Stegostoma tigrinum: one gene and its partner. The protein of the gene in region 1 purifies or fractionates together with the protein of each later gene. This does not show direct contact. Links are inferred from orthologs where the notes say so. Each region holds a gene or a part of one and is shown in the gene's direction. Other genes may lie near its edges.

The links.
Region 2: the proteins of probable cationic amino acid transporter (region 1) and golm1 purify together in Homo sapiens (co-immunoprecipitation; 3 studies listed by BioGRID and IntAct, with this or other methods). This does not show direct contact. The link is inferred for Stegostoma tigrinum from reciprocal best matches to the Homo sapiens genes SLC7A14 and GOLM1.

Annotation. Positions count from the first base shown.
Region 1 is NC_081367.1:56,804,929-56,815,733, reverse strand, and holds the start of probable cationic amino acid transporter, read left to right. Parts: upstream 1-5,920; 5' UTR 5,921-6,111; intron 6,112-6,546; exon of another isoform or gene 6,547-6,915; intron 6,916-10,805. UniProt on the Homo sapiens protein: Imports 4-aminobutanoate (GABA) into lysosomes. May act as a GABA sensor that regulates mTORC2-dependent INS signaling and gluconeogenesis. The transport mechanism and substrate selectivity remain to be elucidated.
Region 2 is NC_081356.1:58,787,800-58,798,301, forward strand, and holds the start of golm1 (Golgi membrane protein 1), read left to right. Parts: upstream 1-6,425; 5' UTR 6,426-6,805; coding exon 6,806-7,135; intron 7,136-10,502.

The DNA of each region.
Region 1 (10,805 bases):
TGCAGTAAGTAGTCTAAGTTGTCAGTCATTATGACATTATTGTCCTCCACTATCTCCTTCAACTCAGCGAGGAGCCTTTGGCAATTTAGCAATGATGATTGTTAATTAACATTTTTGTTTAAATATTGGCAGCTTCAACAACAGCACCCTCCTTCATTGCAAATTTGGCTTGTTCATTGATAACATGCTGCTTGAAACAGTTGACAGCCCTGGTTCAATGGCTAGCATGCTTCCTGGTGATTTGGAAAGCTGTGGGGTCAAGACGTGCTCTAAAGATTTAAGCATTCAGCCTAGGCTGGGGGTAGGTTGTCATGGAGTGTAGTTTTAATGTTCCACCCTCTTGATCAGAACGTCTGTTTAAATCTCACTTGTCATGGAGATGTTTCATAAAAGTAATTAAATTCAAGACTTACTCACCTAATACTGTGCTGTGGTCAGTAATGTAAAAAGCATGGGTTCAGTTCCTGGACCAGCTGAGGTTAAGGGACTCTCTTTTACAGCCTCTCACCTTGACTCCAGGCTAAATCATTCCCAGTTGTCTCTTGAATGAGAGAGCAGCTGTTTGGTCTGGTAGGACTATTAGTGACTTTATTGCTTTTAAGATGATGGTGTATCAAGGTCCCATCTGACAATAAAGGTCCCACAGTGTTATGTGGAACATAGTGGTGTTTGTGCTAAACTACAGATTTACAAATAACGTGCGTATAAATCTCTGAAAGCATTTTTTTTTGCTGCCTAATTGAACATCAGGAACGATCTCCTTGCTATCCTGAAAAATACTTCAATCCTCAATTAAAAAGTAAAACAAATAATTCAGTCCATCTCACTTTGCTGTTAATGGGATATTTTAGTGTGCAAATTGTTTGCATTACAGTAGCAAAAATTGTTAAGAGCTGATCTGATGTTAAAGAAAGGTAGCAATTTACTGCAAGGGGAATTAAGTACCGCAATTTTTTGAAGTGTCATCATTGTTCCATGGTTCTAGCTGATGGTAATACTGGATAAGTCAGGCTCCAGTGTGAAACTTTGTCACTGGGAATGGTGGGGCTTGAGAGTTGGAACACTTTCCCAAATGGGGTTATAACAGTTTTCAGAAATGGCTTCTTCTCCACGGGATAGTTTGCCCTTGTCTTTCTATTTGGTAGAGTTTGTGTTGTTGGTAGATGGTCTTAAAAGAGACTTAGTAAGTTGCTGCAGTGCACCTTGGAGATGGCACGTACAATTCCCATTGTGTGCAAGCTGTGGAGGAAATGGACGCTTAAGGAAATGATCAGATTCCAGTCAAAAGAGGTGCTTTGTCCTGGATGTCTTTGAAAGTCTTGAATGTTTTTGGATCTGCATTCAACCAGGCAAATGCTAAGAATTCCATCACAATCTACATTGAGCCTCATAGATGGCTTTGGAGTGAGAAAAAGTGAGTTATTTGCTGTAGAATTTCCAACCTCTAAACTACATTTGCAAAGAAAGTATTTATGCAACTTGTCCAATGAAGTTTCTGCTCCCAGGGTGTTGATGATGGAGTACCTAACAAAGGAAGTGCTGCTCATTGTCAAAGGAAGATGTACGGTATGACTCTGTACAGTTACCCCCTCTGTAAGTGATTTGTATTGACTTCAATATGTGAAAATTTCTATCCCAAATGGTGCATTACTGAGTGTGTGCCACATTAGGGAGAGCTCATGCTCCCTTTAGAGGAATTTTACAGGGAAGGGGTGAATCCAGGTTTAGTCGTCAATGTTAGAACAAACAATATAAATAGAAATAGGGAGCAGGCACCACTTAATGACTATCAGGAGTTAAGTTCTAAATTAAAAAGCAGGGCCTTAAAGGTTATAAGCTCTCAGTATTTCCCAAGCTATGTGCAAATTGGCATGGGACTTAGCAGTTCAGGAGAATTGACACATGGCTAAAGAGCAAGTTCACTGCCATGAGACATTTGTACTACTCTGGGACAGGAAGTGTATGCATCAATAGAATGGGAAGCAGCTGCAAAAAGAGTAAATAAGGAGTAACAAGGCCTTTAAGCTCATAAAATGGGAGGACCAACATACAAGAAAGATAAGCAGCCTATATCTATTCAGAACAGGGCAAATGGATGTAGGAGAGACAAACGTAAGACAGGACATTAATGCCAAGGGGATAAATAATTATAGAATAGGAGTCTATAGGTTGGTGAAACATCAGGTGAGAGAAAACGCTAGTAAAAATGAGTTAAAATGCCAATGCAGAAATACAGAGCATTCATAACAAAATAAAAGCTAGAAGCAATGATGCTTAGGTGGGGGGTGGGATTGTTGGAGGTGGGAGGTGGGATTCAACACAGTTAGAAATATTGAGACACAACTATGGAAAGTTCTGGGCCAGGAATTGAACATTATAGGTTGTTACAAAGCTGGAAATAATGAGGAAACATATGGATGGGGTATCTGTACTTTGTTGAGGTAATTTCATGGCAATATAAAGAAATGTTACAGTTATCAACAGGACAAAAGTAGAATCAGAAGGGAAATGTTGAATGTTTTTATTAAAGATGTTATAGAAAGGCACTTAGAAAATTCAAAGTTATCTGTCAGGGTCAACATGCATTTTGTGAAAGGGAGATCACGTTTAATGTTATTGATGTTCTTTGAAGAACTGACACGCGCTTGGAATAAAGGAAAATATGTGTAGATAATGAACTTTAATTTTGTGAGAAAGAAGGATTCTAGAAAGCAATAAAGCAACCATGGTTAACCAGAGGAGTTAGGATAGCATTAAATTGATAGCAAAAAAAACTCCTACAATTTGGCAAAGATTAGTGCTAAACCTGAGATTTTGGGAAAGATTTAAAAACAAATAAAAGACGGCCAAAAAGAAAATGGATAAGATAAACTTTGAGGGTAAACTTGCAAAAAAATGTCAATTTAAACAGTAAGTGCTTCTTTAAATGTATAAGTAGGAATTGAGAATTCAAAATGAATATAGGCCCCTTACAGACAAGGTCAGGGAAATAATAATCAAGGAGGAGTGTGACAAAAGTTGAATAAATATTTTGCAGTCTTCATGGTACAAGACACAAATGACATTACAAAATTATGAAATAGCTAATGGACAAAAAGTGAAGAGAAAATAAATAACAGTTGGTTCTTCATCGTAAATTGGTTTTAACACAATTGAACAATTATAGAATGCTATTTATAAAATGTGAATTTTCCCTACCTGTATTGGCTATAATGTGATTCCATACCCATCACTTTAAATGTCATGGTTATTGCATGATTTTCTTATAACACGAGATCTCATGAGAATGGAACTATCGCATTATATCAGAACCAACCGTAATAACTATTGCAAAAGAAAAATGCTTGGGAAACGCATGGACTAAAGACTGATTAACCCCCCTAATGGTATATGTTAAGGATATTAAAGGGCGTAGCTATAGAGATAATGGATGCACTGGTGGCAACAGACTCCTTAGATATTGGTAGTCACAGAGAATTGGAAAATTGCCAACGTAACACCTTTATTTGAAAAGGGAAGGAAACAAAAAGGTGCCAATAGGCCACTCAGATAACATCTGTTACTCGGATAATATTAGAGTCTATTATAAAGATGTAACAGCAGAGCATTTATAAATACACAATATGGTATATGATCAAACAAAGTCAGCTTGGCTTCATGATGGGGGAACCATACCTGACAAATTTATTAGAGTCATTTGAGAAGGTAATAAGCAAGATAGATAAAGGGATGTGGCGTATGTAAAAAAATTGGATTTTCAGAACGCAGTTGACAAGGTACTACACATGAGGCTGCTAAATAAGAACCATGGTATTGACTGTAGTATACGAGCATGTGTAGTGGATTGGCTAATGAATAGAATTTGTAATAACAGGGCAATTTCAGGATGGAAATCTGTAGCATGTAGGGTTTTACAGGCATCAATGCAAGGACTATAATTATTTACAACATATATTACTGATTTGGATGAGGAAAGTGAATGTACCAAAGACAAATTTATACATGACAGAATATAGGTGGGAAAGCAAGTGGTGAGGTTATGGGAGAAAGACAGGAAAGTGAATTTTAGGATTATTAGAGCAACCATGATCTCATTGAATGGTAGAGCAGTCTCAATGTTCTAAATGGCCTACTTCTGCGCCCATGTCTTAGTCCATAAGACTGTAAGAAATGGTAACAAGTGTAGGCCATTCTGCCCCTCAAGCCTGCTTTGGCATTCAATAGAATCATGGCTGATTTGGCAGGTCACACTCCCACTTCCCTGACCTTTTCCCATAACTCTTGGTGCTCTTACTGATTAAGAATCTATCTCAACCTGAAATGTACACAAGGACTCTGCCTTCACAGTTCTCTATGGTAACGGGTTCCAAAGACTCATAACCCTTTGAGAGAAGAAATTCCTCCACATCTCAGTCTTAAATTGGCACTCCTTTATTCTGAGATTTTGCTTTCTCATCCTGGATTCTCCCATGAGGGGAAACATCCTCTCAGCATTTACCCTGTCAAGCTCCTTAAGAATCCTATGTTTCGATGCGAACACCTCTCATTCTTCCAAATTCCAATCAGTAGTGTCCCAATCTGGTTAATCTTTACTCATAAGGCAATCCCTCCACTCTGGAGAGAATTCAAGTGAACATTACTTGAACAGACTCTGATGAAATAATATCTTTTCTTAAATAAGGGGATCAAAACAGGTGGCATGGTGGCTCAGTATTTAGCACTGTTGCCCCACAGGAGCAGGGACCCAGGTTTGATTCCACCCTCGAGCGACTGCGTGGAGTTTGCACATTCTCCCTATGTTTGCATGAGTTGTCTCCAGGTGCTCCAGATTCCTCCCACAGTATAAAATGAGCAGGTTAGGTGGATTGATCATGCTGGTTTGCTCATAGTGTCCTGGGATGTGCAGGCTAGGTGAATGAGCCATGGGGAATGCAGGGTATGGTGATAGGATAGAGGAGTGGGATGCTCTTCATACAGTTGGTTTGGACTCAGTGGGCTGAACGACCTGCTTCCACACAATGCTTTAGATATGGTCTCACTGATACATTTACAGCTGCAGTAAGTCTTCCCTACGTTTATACTCCAACCCCCATGAAATAAGGGCCAACATTCCATTTGGCTTCCTAATTGCCTGCCGGATCTGTGTGTTAGCTCTCTGTGTCAACTACCCTTTTAGTCTTATTGTAGACATTTAATAAGCTGTCATCTCAAAGGCAGGTAACGGAGATTTAGAAAGGGTGGTAGGAAGATCATCATGGCATGGTTCAGTTGAATGATCAGTATGAGATAGCAGAGCCGGGCCTAATGGCTGTCCAATAGTCAGTCATTTTCATTCTGGGAAGTCTCGCAGCAGTGATAGGTAAATGCAGAGAAATCGACTAGCCAGATAAATGGACTAGCTGGAGAAAGACAGCCTGGCTGGCCTCCATGTTAAGACGGGAATCAGCAGATAAAAATCCCAGATAATTAAAATAAATAGCAAGTTCTCGAATGGTAACCATTATTTGTACAAGAGCACAATAGACCCAAACTTAACAAAAAGATATATGCTCACAGGTACAAGAACACACACGCGCTAACATACAGACATAAAAAACAAATAGACGCTTTCTTCTCTCACTCCACCGGCTTAGCTCAGTATTAGGTAATATAATAGCAACTGATGTCACCAATTGTTTACTATTTGCTGTGAGTCGCCTATAAATTGAACAAAAAAAGCAGGTAAAATCCAAGGGAATGTTCGCAGTTGAATGCGCGCATTGAGCGTGCTTTAACCCCGAATTGCTGTTGTGGGGGGGAGGCGGGGGTTGGGTGAGAGCAGGGGGGGGTGAAGGTGTTGGAGTCGAGGGGGCGCTGGTCAGACAGTCTGTGTCTCCTTCCGTAACCCTAATACGTTGGGTAGTCGCTCTTTGACGCAGAGCTGCTGCTGGAGCCGGTATTTAAATAATGAATTGGCCAGGACCCACGTGATCTCTGATTCTGAATAATTCAGCGTGTTCGCCAGATCGCATCGCCCTCCTTCAATAAAACCAGCATCAAAGCGACCCTGAAGCAGTGCAAAGATGTGTGTTTTTACCTGAAACAATCCTTGACTAATCTTTTGGGGGGGTGGTGAGTGTATCTTTTTAAAATCGTTATCATTATGCTTTGTTTTTGTTCCATCCGCGGATGATGAGCCGAGCAGAGTCAATTTATTCTTTTATTAAATCTTGTTATTGTAGAGCAGAGATGTGTTATTTATTAGAAGCCGTTTATTGTTAAGGGAAACGCAGCCCCAGATGCATGTACCTGGCGCCTTGTTATTGATCACGCAGATTTTCTCTGCATGAACAGAACAGCACTGCAACAAACCCTTCAGTCATACAGTACGTCGTCATGCTTTTATCTAACCACATTGCAGTTTTCAGCAATATTTTAGCAAAACATCCTTCAAATATTAGAAAGAATTGGAATTTAATTTCTTTAGAAAAGCAGATCACAATATCTGAAGTACGTAATTCACGAGGCGGACGTGATATTGCTCAAGTTTGCAGTAACATTAGAAAAAGCAACATATCTGTCCTCTCACTCGTAAGGAAGTAGAGAAGCTGAAGTGATCCCTCCTGCACGCACTTCCATTCAGACGAAGGAGTCCCCAATCAGTCTCTCTTCAGAGGTGAGGACTTTCGGAGGTGTTTAGACTGTCCAGCAGTTTCTCTCCACCTGTTCAAGGAGCGGTGTTAGGGTGAAAAAGACTGCGAATATTCGGCACACAATTCATTGGCTGATCCCTGGTTCACCCTGAAACCGCCGAATCCGCCCACTTTCTCCCCAAGGGCCGTGCGCTGTCCCTGGTGCTGAAAGGCGAGACGAACGGGCCATCAAGACAAACAATTGTTAAAGACGGGGCCACTCCTGCCGTAGTATTCACGGATGGTGAGAAGATGTTCGATTTAGTTTGGAATCATTTAAGGGTTAATGAATGTTTTGGAGTCGGGTGTGTGTTTGGTTGGATACTGCAATGCATGCAGAGTGAATAAGATGAGTGCTGTGAGTCTCCTAAGGAGTTTAACAACCTGTCCCTATACTATTCTCAACAGTCAATGTAAATTTGACATTTTTCTCAACTGAACTGCATCTCGCCTTCCTAGGAAGAGCCTGTTTCTCCTGTTTGAAGATTGATTTTGTTTAGCTCTCCAAGGACTAAACTAGCAGCTGTTTCGCGTACTGAACTCTGCTTTGAACTAATTACACACATGAAGCCTTCAGATGTAGCTGTTGCGTATAACATCAGTATCTGTAGTATATGTGTATCTCTACATACATATCTCTCTTTATTCATTCGAGTGTTCAATTTCTTGCTCGTATAAAATATATATATACACTACTTTTACACTAAAATTTCAATGACAGATACGTATAAACCATTAGTTTGCAACTAAAGCATGAATTCTACATATAATTTGAATTATAGGTTTGGACTGGGATGATGGAAGGGCTATGCTTCTACCTTCTCTGCTCAGTTGCCTTTCCACATTGCTTCTAGTGAAGATCATATGTGGATCGTTCACATTCTGACAGTATCTTTTCTGCTCCCCCGCATTTCCCACACATCATTCATTGCCACTTTTACAGTCTTTCAAATCTGAATCACGATTCTTCCTAGTACCTTTTGTTCTTCTGTACATGTTCCATTTCAAATTATGCTCCCCAGATCCCAATAATTCCTAATAATTCCAACATACTAGATGGAATCTTATGGAGGTCTGAGTGAATGTGCTATGATGTGGTTTGTGGCAGAATCAGATGAAAAGTCCAGCATTATTGAATTCAACATCAGGAGAACTCATTCCATCTTTTTATGTTTTGCTGAGCAGCAGAGTAAGCTTCTTATTCACCAACAGGTTGCCAATTAGTTATACAGAGAAAATTGACTTGACCAATAACAATGCAGCAGGATTGTTGTTTGTTAAATGCACTGTTGATGGCCCAACTCCATATTTCACTTTGTGTCACTAAACTCACTTAAAAAGCTCAACATTGAGAAAACGTAACTTGAGAACTATAATGGATACCAGACAAATTCAGCTTGCTACTTGCTTCAAAGGACTTCAATGTTGGTTACTGGGCAACAATGTCTCAGGAAATATTCCATGGACCCTAGCACATGCATCCCAGCAGACATCTGCATGTGTTAGATTCCATTCACTAACAAGCCTCATGGCAGATCTCCAACACACTTACAGGATGTTTTTGCACTTTGGAATGCATCAGCAAAGACACTGTGCTCTAATGCTCTAATGCAACTAGTTCAGCGACTGGACCAGGCTGCATTTCAAGGTCCTTTGTTCAGTGTCATACTGAGCTGAGCTGAGTGTACAGAACATTCCTGCCTTGCATTGTCTTGCTTTGCCTCTTTGTGTTTTGCCCCTTCAATCAGAGATGTCAGGTTCATACTATCTCTATTTTGCCTTCTGTTTAGTGCAGACGTAAACGAGGAAGCTTTCATGTTGTTAACATGCTTCAGTAAAGCCAAGGGAGATAGCCTTTGCTTTTGGAGGCACCAACCCCTCCACTACACTTGGTACCTTTCCTTGCAAACATAAGAGAGTACACCTGCCCCCTCATGTCCCCTCTCACCTCCATCCAAGGACACAAACAATCCTTCCAAAGCTGGCAGCGACTCACTTGCACTTCATCTAACTCAGCCACCGTATCTGTTGCTCCTGACGTGGTCTCCTCTATATTGGGAAGACCAAATGCAGACTTGGGGATTGGTTTGTGGAGCATCTGTGCTCTGCACACACCAATCAACTGGACCTGCCAGTTGCCATCCACTTTAACTCCCCTCTCCCACTTCCCTGGTGACATGTCCATCATCCTTGGCCTCCACACTGTCAGAGTGACACCAGACATAAACTGTAGGAACAGCGCATCATATTTCACCTTGGGAGCTTACAGCCTAATGGACTGAATACTGGCTTCACCAGCTTCAAAATCTCTCTGCCTCCAACTTGTCTGTCTTCCTGCTCCTTATCCACTGACATGAAACCATTTCAAACCCTTATTGAAATGGCTTTCAATATCTCCACCCACCCCAACTCCTCAGATGACATGGCCATCCTTGGTTTCCTGCATTGCCACAATGATGCCAAAAGAAAGATGCAGGAACAGCATCTCATATTTCACTTGGGAACCCTGCAGCCCAAAGATATCAATGTGGACTTCACAGGCTTCAAAATCTCCCCTCCCCTGACTACATCCCAAAACCAGCCCAGCTAGTCTCCGGCTCACTAACCATTCCTTCCGCCTCAAGCCCCACCCCCATCTCCTACCCACTATCCTCATCCCGCCTCCTTGACCTGTCCGTCCTCCCTGGACTGACCTATTGGCTCCCTAACTCCCCACCTACATTCACCTTCATGGCTCTAACCCTGCCTCTTTGACCTGTCTGTCCCCTCTCACCCTATCTTCTCCTTTATCCATCTTCTATCCGTGTTCCTCTCTCTCCCTATTTATTTCAGAATTCCCTTCCCCTCCCCCATTTCAGAATAAGGGCCTCGACCCAAAACGTCAGTGTTCCTGCTTCTCTGAAGTTGTTGAGTCACTGATACAACAGGACATTCTTCACTAGTCGACATCAAGGGATTCTGTCTCAATATAAAATATCAAATACAAGTTTTACACTTACCTCAGCTAATGGCATACATCCATGCATTTTCTATCAGGAGTTACTGAAATTAATCTCAGGGAATGAGAAAAACATCTCCTGAGGTAATATTTCCTTACCCTTAATACACAGACAGGACAATAGCTGAACCTCAACAAAATCAGATCAATTCATTGCATACTGTGAGTTGAAATTATTTGACAGATGTCATTGGACAAGCTTTTAGAGGACCATGTTACCTCTTTTTAGATTGATAATTGCATGTGCAGAGTTTCAATCCTTTGCCCACAAAGTTACTTGAGGTACAAATTCAGAAGGACAACAGGCCATATTGAGTAATGGGAGACATGGCACTTCTATTTAGTCATAGAACAGTTACAGCACAGAATGAGGTCATTCAACATGTCTTTTTTTGCCACCTTCAAAGAGTATTACCTATTCTAATGATTTTTCCAAAGCTCTGCGTTTAATTTTTCTTCAGATAATAATTTGGTTCCCTTTTGAAAGCCTCTGTTGAACCTGCCTCCACCCACATTCTCAGACAGGACGTTCCAAACCCTAACCACTCACTTCGTTAGATGTTTTTAACCACATGTTGTCATTTGATATTGATCAATTTACTTTAAGGATTGTGAAATGTTCACTGAAAGGGAGGTAAATTAAGTTGAATTAGCGAAAAAGAGGGAAAACAAAGCTTTCATAATGAGAGAATGTTCACCTTTATTTGAATCTCTTAAAACAATTCACAATGAGATTTCATTTCTATTTTTATTCAATTTATTCAGACATATTGTTACACATTTCCAGGGCAGCTATTTCAGTCCTATATTTGTTCACTTTCTGAGCAAGAATTGGTTGGCATTTGTCACATTGTTAAATGTATTCATCTTTTCTCTGGACTTCGATTTCTAAGATTTCTTGTGGTGCAGTGGTAGTGTCTCTACTTCTAAGTCAGGAGACCAGCGTTCAAGTCTCACCAGACGTGCACAATAACGTGTCTGAAGAGTTTGAACAGAAAAAAAAACTAAGTCAAAGTTTCTGCGTGCATTCAATGTGTACTTAGTGTGCAAAAGCAGAGAATTTATCAACAAAGAGGTAGGTGTTAAGCTTAAATTTTGTTTCCATAAATTTCTTGGTAGATGAATGACAAATCATT
Region 2 (10,502 bases), on another chromosome or scaffold:
ATCAACAGATATATTTCACACTAAGGTTAGCCTTTCAAACTGCAGTTTTCATATTAGTAAACCTTTGGCACTGATGAAATTTTTGTTTTTCCCCTTTTCTGGACTTATCTTTTTTTTATTTTTTATTTTGCATTATTTAGGTCTAACATCAATTTTGGACAGACAAGCCCAAAATAGAAAACTGCTTATGACCACTATTTTGAGGAGAGGATTGTGTTGTTATAAGCTAACGGTGCCAAATCGACAACCAATCAACTAACATTTGTGCCATATTCAATGGCATCACCAACATTAAATCCACTACTATCAACATCCTAGGTGTTACCATTGACCAGAAACTCAACTGGACTTACCAGTATTTTTTATTATTATTAATCTACGGGACATCGGCGTTGCTGACTGGCCAACATTTCATGCCCATCCCTGTTGCCCTTGAGAAAGTGGTGGTGAACTGCCTTCTTGAACCATTGCAAGCCACCTGCCATTAGGGAGGGAATTCCAGCATTTTGACCCAGTGTCAGCGAACGAACAGTGATATATTTCCAAGTCAGGATGGTGAGCAGCTTGGAAGGCAACTTGAAGGTGGTAGTGTTCCCATATATCTACTGCCCTTGTCTTTCTAGATGTAAGTGGTCATGGGTTTGGAAGGCACTGTCTGAGGATCTTTGCTCAATTTCTGCAGTGCATCTTGCAGATAAATAATACACATCGGTGCCACTGAGTGTCAGTGGTGGAGGGTGTTGATACTTGTGCATCTAATGCCAAATATGCAGGCTGCTTTATCCTGGATGGTGTCAAGCTTCTTAAGTGTTGTTGGGGCTGTACGCATCCAGGCAAGTGGTGAGTATTCCATCACACTCCTGACTTGTGCCTTGTAGGTGGCGGACAGACTTTGGGAAGTCAAGAGGTGAGTTACTCGTTGCAGTATTCCTCGCCTCTGACCTTCTCTTGTAGCCATTGTGTTTAAGTGGTAACTCCAGCTGAATTTCTTGTCAATGGTTCCCCCCCAGGATGTTGATAATTGGAAATTCAGTGATGGTAACACTACTGAATGCCAAGGTGTGGTGGTTAGATTGTATCTTATTAGTGATGGTCATAGCCTGGCATCTGTGTGGTGTGAATGTTACTTGCTATTTGTCAGCATAAGCTGGATATTGTCCAGATCTTGTTGCATTTGAACATGAACTGCTTCAGTATCTGAAGAGTTGTAAGTTGTGCTGAACATTGTGCAATCATTGGTGAATATCCCCACTACTGACCTTATGATGGAGGGAAGATCATTGATGAAGCAGCTGGAGATTGTTGGACTGAGGACACTACCCTGTGGAACTCCTGCAGAGATGTCCTGGAGCTGAAATGATTGACCTTCAACAACCACAGCCATCTTCCTATGCGTCAGGTTGACTCTAACCACTGGAGAGTTTGCCTTGATACCCATTGATTCCAGTTTTGCTAGGGTTCCTTGATGCCATACCCAGTCAAATGCACCCTTGAAATCAAGGGCTGTCACTCTCACCTCACCTCTGGAATTTAACTCCTTTTTCCATTTTTGGACCAAAGCTATAATGTGGTCAGGATCTGAGTGGTCCTGGCAGAACCCAAACTGGGCATCACTGAGCAGGTTATTGCTGAGCAGGTTCTGCTTGATAGCACTGTTGATATCATCATCCATCACTTTAGTGATGATTGAGAGTAGACCAATAACATAGTTAATACAGTGGCTACAAGAACAGGTCGTACACAGTGAGCAACTCACCTATTAACTCCTCAAACCATATACAAGGTTTAAGACAGGAGTGTGAAGGAATACTCCCCACTTGCCTGGATGAGTGCAGCTTGAATACTCAAAAAGCATCCAGGACAAAGCAGCCAGTTGACTGGCAACACATCTATAAGTACCCACTTCCCCATCAACAATGCTCAGTATTAGCAGTGTGCGCCATTGAAAAAATGCACTGCAGAAATTCACCAAAGATATTTAGACAGCACTTTCTAAAACCACAACCACTGCCATCTAGAAGGACAGGGACAGCAGACACATAGGAACATCACCACCTGAAACTTCTGCTCTGAGCCACTCACCATCCTCTCTTGGAAATATATTGCTGTTCTTCTGCTGTTGCTGGGTCAAAATCCTGGAAGTGCCTCTCTAATGGCATTGTAGTTGTACCTATATCTGACGGACTTCTCAAGGGCAACTCGTAAGAGGCAGCAAATGCTAACCCAGCCAGTGATGCCCATGTTACACCAGTGAATAAAAAGAAATGAATATGTTCGAATGTCTGCTCTATAGGCTCATAGACTACTATGGCACCAAAATAGGCCATCTGACCACCCCACCACAAAGATCTGACATTAAATTATTTTCCAACTTTTGACCAATAGTCCTGGAGGCTACGGCAACATGAGTGAATATGTAAATATTGCTTAAATGTTACAGCTTTTAACTCAACCACATTTTCTGGCTATGAGTTCCAGACTTACACTACCCTATGAGTGAAAAAAATTCTCAACTCTCTTCTTAGCCTTCTGTCTTAGCCAAAATCCATGCCATCCTCCCCACCATTCCCCCATTATTGATCCCTCTACTAACAGAAAGAATGCCTTCCTATCAATGCCCCTCACAACCTTAACCATCTCTCAGGGGCCTATTCAACCTTTGTTGTTCCAAGGCAAAATAAACAGTTTATCTGTTTTTTTTGTGTGGCTTACACGCTGTACCCCAGGCACTGTGAACCATGGTAAATCTTCTCTGCACCATCTCTGGTGTAATCGCAGTCTTTCTATGATGTGGTCACCAAAACTTACTCTAATTGTTGTTTAACCAATATTTTATTCAGCATGACCTTCCTACTTTTGAATTCAGTGCCTTGGTCAATAAAGGCACATATCCCAAATGCCTTCTCAATTACCTTATCTACCTGCCTCATTGCCTTCATGGATCTGTGGATATGCTCATCAAGGTCCCTCTGATGTTCAGTACTTTCTAGATACCTATTATTCATTGTGTAATCCTTTGTCTTGTGAGATCTCCCCAAGTGCATTACCTCACTTCTTTTAAAGATAATTCCATTTGTTATAGCCCCATCCAGTTGACCAGTTGTTGAGATTTCCAGTGGTTTAAGGCAAACCTTCTCACTGTTGATTTACCCCCTACAATTAAGTTCAAATCTTTAATGTCCTCAACAAACAGTAACAGCCCCAGCATGGAGCACTATAGCATATCACTCATCGCAGAAACATCCCTCTACCATCACCTTGGTTTCTGCCTCATCCAATTTTTGGACTCCATGTGTAACTTTGCCTTGGATTCCATGGGCTCTGACTTTCCTTGACTAGTCTGCCATGAAGAACTTTATCAAAAGCCTTATTAAAGTCTTGTAGACCGTATCATCTGCATTACACTCATCATAGAGTTATACAGCATTGAAACAGACCCTTTGGTACAACTTGTTAATGCTGACCAATATCCTCAACTGATCTAGTCCCATTTGCCAGCATTTGGCCCATATTCACCTAAACTGTTCCCATTCATGTATCTTTTCAGATGGTAACCAAGCTGAGGAGAGGGTTTAACCAATACTGACCTTGGTGAAAGGCATTTGGAGCTGGCTACGGCAGAGTTCACATGAATGTGAGCGTTGAAAATGAGTTGACTTTCAGCGCCCTCAGTTCATCTATTTTTTCTTCAGACTCCTTACCTTAAAATATATCGAACTTATGTATCCTATATTTCATCCGCCTTCCAGTTTCACATGATTTAACTTAAACTTCTATCTTAGCTTTCTCCCCTCCATCCTACTTGTCACCTGTCAAGCTAGTTTAAATCCAATGCAACAGAATTAGGGTGGTTAGCACTGCTGCCTCACAGCGCCAGGGACCCGAGTTCAATTTTGGACGACTGTCTGTGTGGAGTTTGCACATTCTCCCCACGTCTGTGTGGGTTTCCTCCGGGTACTCTTGTTTCCTCCCGCAGTCCAAAGATGTGCAGGTTAGGTGGATTGGCTAAGCTAAATTGCCTGTAGTGTTCAAGAGTCTGTAGATTAGGTGGGTTATAGGGGGATAGGTCTGGGTGGGATGCTCCAAGGGTCGGTGTCGACTTGTAAGGCTGAAGGCCCTGTTTCTACACTGTAGGGGTTTTATGATTCTCCCCACTTGGATGGACCTATTCCAATTCAGATTTAACTTTGCCAACTTGTACTGTTCCCATCTCCACCAGAAACAGGTCCCAATGCTTCAGGTCATGGACATTTTCCCTTCTCACTATCCCTTAAGACCCATATTCATCTGCTCTACTCTTCTATACACATACTCACGCTTGGGTAATGCCAAGAGTAATCTGAAAATTATTTCCTTTGAAGTTCTGCTTTCCCAATGTCCATGTGTAAGACCTAATTTCTTTTTCTTCCTATGTCACTGGTCCCAACATGGACAATGAATTCTGACTGTTCATGCTGTCCCTTCAAAACGCCCATGACATCTTTGAACATGGCACCCATGAGGTAACATACTATCCTGGAGTAATGTCTACAGCTGCAAAAGTGCTTGTCCACTGCCCTCACTAAGGAATTGCCCTTGATATTTATTGTTCTTAGGTCCAGCAGCATTACCATTTTCTCTGACCATTTTCAAGGGCAAAAAACAGTTTGCAAATGATAAGCATGTGAGGACTTCTCTCAATACAGTCTTGGTTCCCTTTTTTTGCTTGGTGGTTACTGATTCATTCTCGACCTGAACTTTCTTAAGCTATGGGATGACCACATTGTGAAATGTATTATCCTTGATCCACAGTTTCGTGAATGCGCCCTGGTGCTCCCAGCTGCTCTGAATTTCCAGAACGCAATGTTTGTATATTTCAGCCAGAGGCACTCCTGCACACCATTTCACACACACTCATGGTAGACAAATTTACAGTTCATTCATGGGGTTGCCATCATTAATAATGACTTAACCTTACATGGGGATGATCATAAGCCAGGTGAAAAATTAAGGCGAAATTTTAAATTTTCAATGTGTTTGTTTTATGTTCTATTTGATGCAAATACAGGTGAAAAACTTTGCAAGGATTTATTGCTCACCAGAGTAGTGGCAGATTTATCAGTAAGTCGACCTGCAGCAAATTCGTGAGAAAACCAGTGTGTGATTGGAGGAGTAGCGAGCAGCCCCATGCTGAGGGCCAGAACGCTGAGTCTGCAGGCTGGGTAAGGGACTAGGAAACTTTCAGGGAGACTCCAGCCTGGGAGGGAGATGAGAATCGCACCACACGGAAAAGGCAATGAGACAGTCGGATGGCAGAGGGGTAACTATGCCACCGGAGTTGGGCAGTGATTGCCTTTTACCAAACTGCATTTATATCTCTTCAAGGAGATACAAACTGTCACTTCCAATTCAATGCACAAAGTTTGCTGGTGGTGTAATAGTACTGGTGATCATTTTTGAAGCTCAAAGCCCCATGGATTATTTTCCTGTAGTTAAAGGAGGCAGAGTCAGTCAGACAGTAAGAAGAAAAACCCCAGGCTGTAAGTCAACTCATTTCTGACCCTCACTTTCATGCGAATTCTGCCGTAGCCAGCTCCAAATGCCTTTCACCAAGGTCAGTATTAATTAAACCATTTCCTTAGCTCGGTCCCTGTTATCATCCCTTCTCTAGTGATCATGAATTGGGGTTGGTTCTTTCTATTTCTCCTATGTCACTGGTCCCAACATGGACAATGAATTCTGACTGTTCATGCTGTCCCTTCAAAATGCCCATGACATCTTTGAACATGGCACCCATGAGGTTCTTAATTGAAAAGGCCTTGTGATTAAGCTTTGTTGTTTGTCCCATTTTAATTGTTAATTTCTATTAATTATTAATTTACAAGATTAATTTATTCCTTTTGAATTCAATTTTTGACAAAATCTATGTTTCCAGTTGTGGCAACCATTATCTCTATAAAATTTGCTGACTAGACCCTGAGAAAGAGATACGTTGAAATATTAGATAACAAGTGTGGAACTGGATGAACACAGCAGGCCAAGCAGCATCTTAGGAGCTCAAAGGCTGATGTTTCGGGCCTAGACCCTTCATCAGAAAAGGTTTTTCAAATGAAGGGTCTCGGCCTGTAACGTCAGCTTTTGTGCTCCTAAGATGCTGCTTGGCCTGTGTTCATCCAGCTCCACACGTTATTATCTCAGACTCTCCAGCATCTGCAGTCCCTATTATTACTGTTACGTTGAAATGTTTCCCATACCTTCCCTCCGAATCCCCATTCCCACGCAAAATGATTAGCCAACCTTCCTGCAAACGGCCTGGGTATTTTGAAACCAACAGTTTCCTACCATGGCACAGAGTTAATAATGAGGGAGGGATGATTTGGTGGATTTGATGTGGAGATGTTGGAGGCAAAAGAGCATTAGAAGGCATTCCGTCGTTGGTTTTGTAATGTTTTGTGGTGATGTTGTAACTTTCCATTAGCGGATAGATTAGCCGTCGCTGGGAGCCGCCTTTCGGAGGTCGGCAGTCACCATCCTGAACGGGGTGTCGGGGAGATGACGGCAGTGAGGGTGGAGCCATGAGGTGGCAGGTGCCTGGCTTCAGCTCCGATTTCACAATCGGCGTCCTGCTCGGTTTCCGAACTTTTATGCGTTTTCCGGCCTGAACAGGCCCTCGCCGCTTTTCTGTGACGAACGACAGAGCTCGTTGACGGTTCGCTCCGTCGGGCAGTACTTTTTTTTCGAAAGACTACATTGACCGAAGAGCGTCCCAATAGCGTGGTTTGAACCGTCTCCCTTCTCCCGGTGCATTCCGCCACCGGCTGTTATCATGATGCTGGGCCTCGGGAGCGGGCGGCGCGGCGCGCGCTCCCCGCCGTTGTTCTTCCTGCTGTTGGCGCTGGGCGCGTGCCTGGCCTTCCTCGCGCTCAGCTACTGGGTGTCGAGCTCGCGCAGCGCCGAGCTGCAGGCGCGGGTGGCCGCGCTCGACGCCAAGGTCCGGCGCGCGGCTGTCGACCTCAGCACCGCGGAGCTGCAGAAGCACCAACTCCAGCTGCAACTGCAGAGCCAGTTAGAGGGCCACAAGGATGAAGTGGGTCAGCTCGGACTTCTGCACCGCCAACAGGTCCAAGCAGAAACCAGGATCTGCAACGAGGAAAAGGTAAAGTAACGCTACTGTGGGTGGGAGGACATGTTGGGGACAACGGAGGTACAAGACAGTTAGTTTTAAAAGTTAATGGGCAGTTCAAAAAAAAAGTTGTGTGGAACGAAGGCGTTGTCTTGGACCACAACGTGAGAATGCTGTGGTTCAGTTGTGCATAACTTTGAGGCCACTGTCTCGAATTCGTAGTCTCTACAGCGCATATAAAGGCCTTTCGGCCCATCTAGTCTTCGCCCACCCTCTCGCAGAACGTCCCACGCATTTCCAGTTTATTACCGTAACCGCGCCGTGGCTGATCTTTCCTTCTGCATTACCTTGGACGTTCCGAGGCAACTTTAGTATTATCAGTCCACCTAACCTGCACATCTTTGGAGTTCTGAATTTAGGGCTGAGCCTGAAAAGTGACCAGGAACGTTTGTGCCACATGCGACAGTCATTGTCCATTTTCAAAAAGAGCGAATCCAATAATTTTTCCTCGAAATTCCGTGGCGTCGCCATCGCAGAATATCCCAATATCAACATCCTTGGGGTTGCCATTGTCTAGAAACGGAACTAAACCAGTGATTATAAATACCATGGCTAAAAGTGCTGGTCAGAGGCTGGGAATTCTGTAGAAAGTTATCACTCCCACCCTCCTGTAAGGCACAAGTCACGAATGTAACTCAGTTGTTTGGATGATTGCAGTTCCAGTGACACTCAGGAAGTTTGACACCATCCGGGAAAGAAATAGCCTACTTGATTGGAAGATTAGATTAGATTAGATTCCCTGCCTGTGGAAACAGGCCCTTCGGCCCAACAAGCCCACACCGACCCTTGAAGCATCCCACACACCCCTGAAGACTATGGGCAATTTAGCGTGGCCTATCCACCTAGCCTGCACATCTTTGGACCGTGGGAGGAAACTGGAGCACCCGGAGGAAACCCACGCAGACATGGGGAGAATGTGCAAACTCCACACAGACAGTCATCCAAAATTGAACCCGGGTCCCTGGCACTGTGAGACCAGTGCTCACCACTGAGCCACCGTGCCGCCCCTAAATCTAATATCGTCACCATTCTCTTTCTACTTCATTGATAAATTGGCAAGTTTGTTTGGAAAATTTCCAAATTGGCAAATATATGTACCAGCTACAAGATGCATTGCAACAACTCACCAAGGCTTCTTCGACAATGGCGTGCAAGCCTGTAACCTTATTATGATGATGACTAACCAAAGTACTCATTGACTGTAAAGTGTTTAGGACATATGGTGGTCATGCATTAAGTACAAAATGTTTTATAAAACTGGAACACTGGTCTATGTAATGCTGTATTATGATTGGAGGAAGAAATCATCTTAATTGTTTTGCACGTTAAAACAATCTTAGAATGGATGTCAGTGTAATTTTTTGCACTCAGGATTATTTACCAAACTTTATTCAGTCACGGTCATCTGTTGGCCAAAGTGTTTTCAGTTTTGTAAGCAGAGGCTAGTTGGACACATCTGGCATCCTGCTTGGTGTGGACAGCCAAAGGGATATGTAATTCTGAAGAAGAGTCATTCCCTGTTTCTCCGGGTTGGATCCCAACGTCCACAAACAAAGCTGCATTAGGACACTATTTAAAAAGGCCAAGACACACTGCAACACTCCAGAGCAACTCAGGAAAGAGGAAGAACACCTGCACAAGATCCTCGCTTTAAACGAATATACCCACAACTTCATCCACAGATTCCTACAAAACAGACAACAGGAGGACACAGTATGACCTAACACATTTATCACACTTACCTACATCAGGAACATATCAGAACTGATAACAAGACTCCTAAGACCACTATGAATCACGGTGACTCACAAGCCCACAGCCACTCAACGACAAACACTTAACAAGGATTAAAGATCCCATTTCCACAATGTGCAGAATAAATGTGGTTTACAAAATACCATGCGATGACCATCACAAACATTACATCGGACAGGCAGGAAGGAAACTAGCCATCAGAATACATGAATGTCTGCCAGCAGCACAACAAACTCTCCTTAATATAGGTACATTCAGACAATGAATGCCATCAATTTAACTGGGACAAAGTAACCATAGTAGCCCAAGCCAAACACAGACACGCATGCAATTTCCTCGAGGCATGGTTCTCCAGCCACACTTCAATCATCAAACATATAGAATTGGACCCCATATAAAAACCCATACAGATCGAAACTGGAAATGACACTACTCACCATTACAGACCGTACAGTATAAATTCCAAGTGGAGTAAATTAACATTGCTTCATCGGAGGCACCACTGATGATGTCACCTAGTACGGTGATGAAACATTTGAACAACAATAAGCCAGCTCAGCGAGCAAGTCAACAACCTCAACCTGAGCTACAGATCTTTGCCAAAACTTAACACCTTTGCTATTCACCTTGTCTATGCCTCATTTTATAAGACATTATAAGGTCACCCGTCAGCATCCAGGGGAAAAAAGTCCCAGACCATCCAGCCTCTCTTGACAACCCAAGTCTTCCGGTCTCCTTTTTCTGCAAATTTACACAAATCTAACCATTTAATACTGTTTGCTAACTGAAACATTTTACACTAACCGAAGATTGTTTGTTCTATTTTGGTATCACCTGGGCACTAGTATTTTTAAATCTTGGTTTCTAAAATAACTTTTAAAGGGCATTTTTAACTTAATGTAGTCTGTAAATGAGGGAATTGGTTTAGGCACCATCTACAATTGTTGATCCATCCCTAGGAATTTTCATTTAATTTAGAATAGCTTTCATTGTCACATGTACTCGTGTGTGTAAAAAGTTTGCAATGTCGCCTCTCGGCAGCATCTTAGGTACAAGTTACCTAGGTACAGATACTTTTGAGTTCTTATAGAATTGAAGTAGTAGAAAAAATAGGCTAACGTGTGAATACAGAGTTTAAAATGTCCAGGAACAAGAACAAACTTGATGGAAAAGTTCAGCAGGTCTGGCAGCATCTGTGAAGGAAAAAACTTAACGTTTTGGGTCTGATGATCCTTCCTCAGAACCTTAAAAAGTCCAGAATGATGATGATAAGTATCTGTAAAGTACACATTATAGTCCTTTTCCACTGAGTCTGTGTCTGCTGGGCTTCTTAACTCGAGGCCTCGTTGTCTCCACGCACTGGCCTCTGCCCAGGACTGTGCTCCAGGATTCGTTCCTTGGCTGGCCTGAGCTTGCCCTCTGGACTCCGGCTGACGACTGCTGTGCTCCTGCTCTGTCCAGGACTCGGCCTGCATGCTCTCTCCCTCTGCTCCGGGCTCTGGCTGCAATTCACTCCCTGTTCTGTACTCCCCCCCCCCCCCCCCCTCCAGGTAGGGTAGTTTAGAAGGTTAAAAGTTGGTGGAGG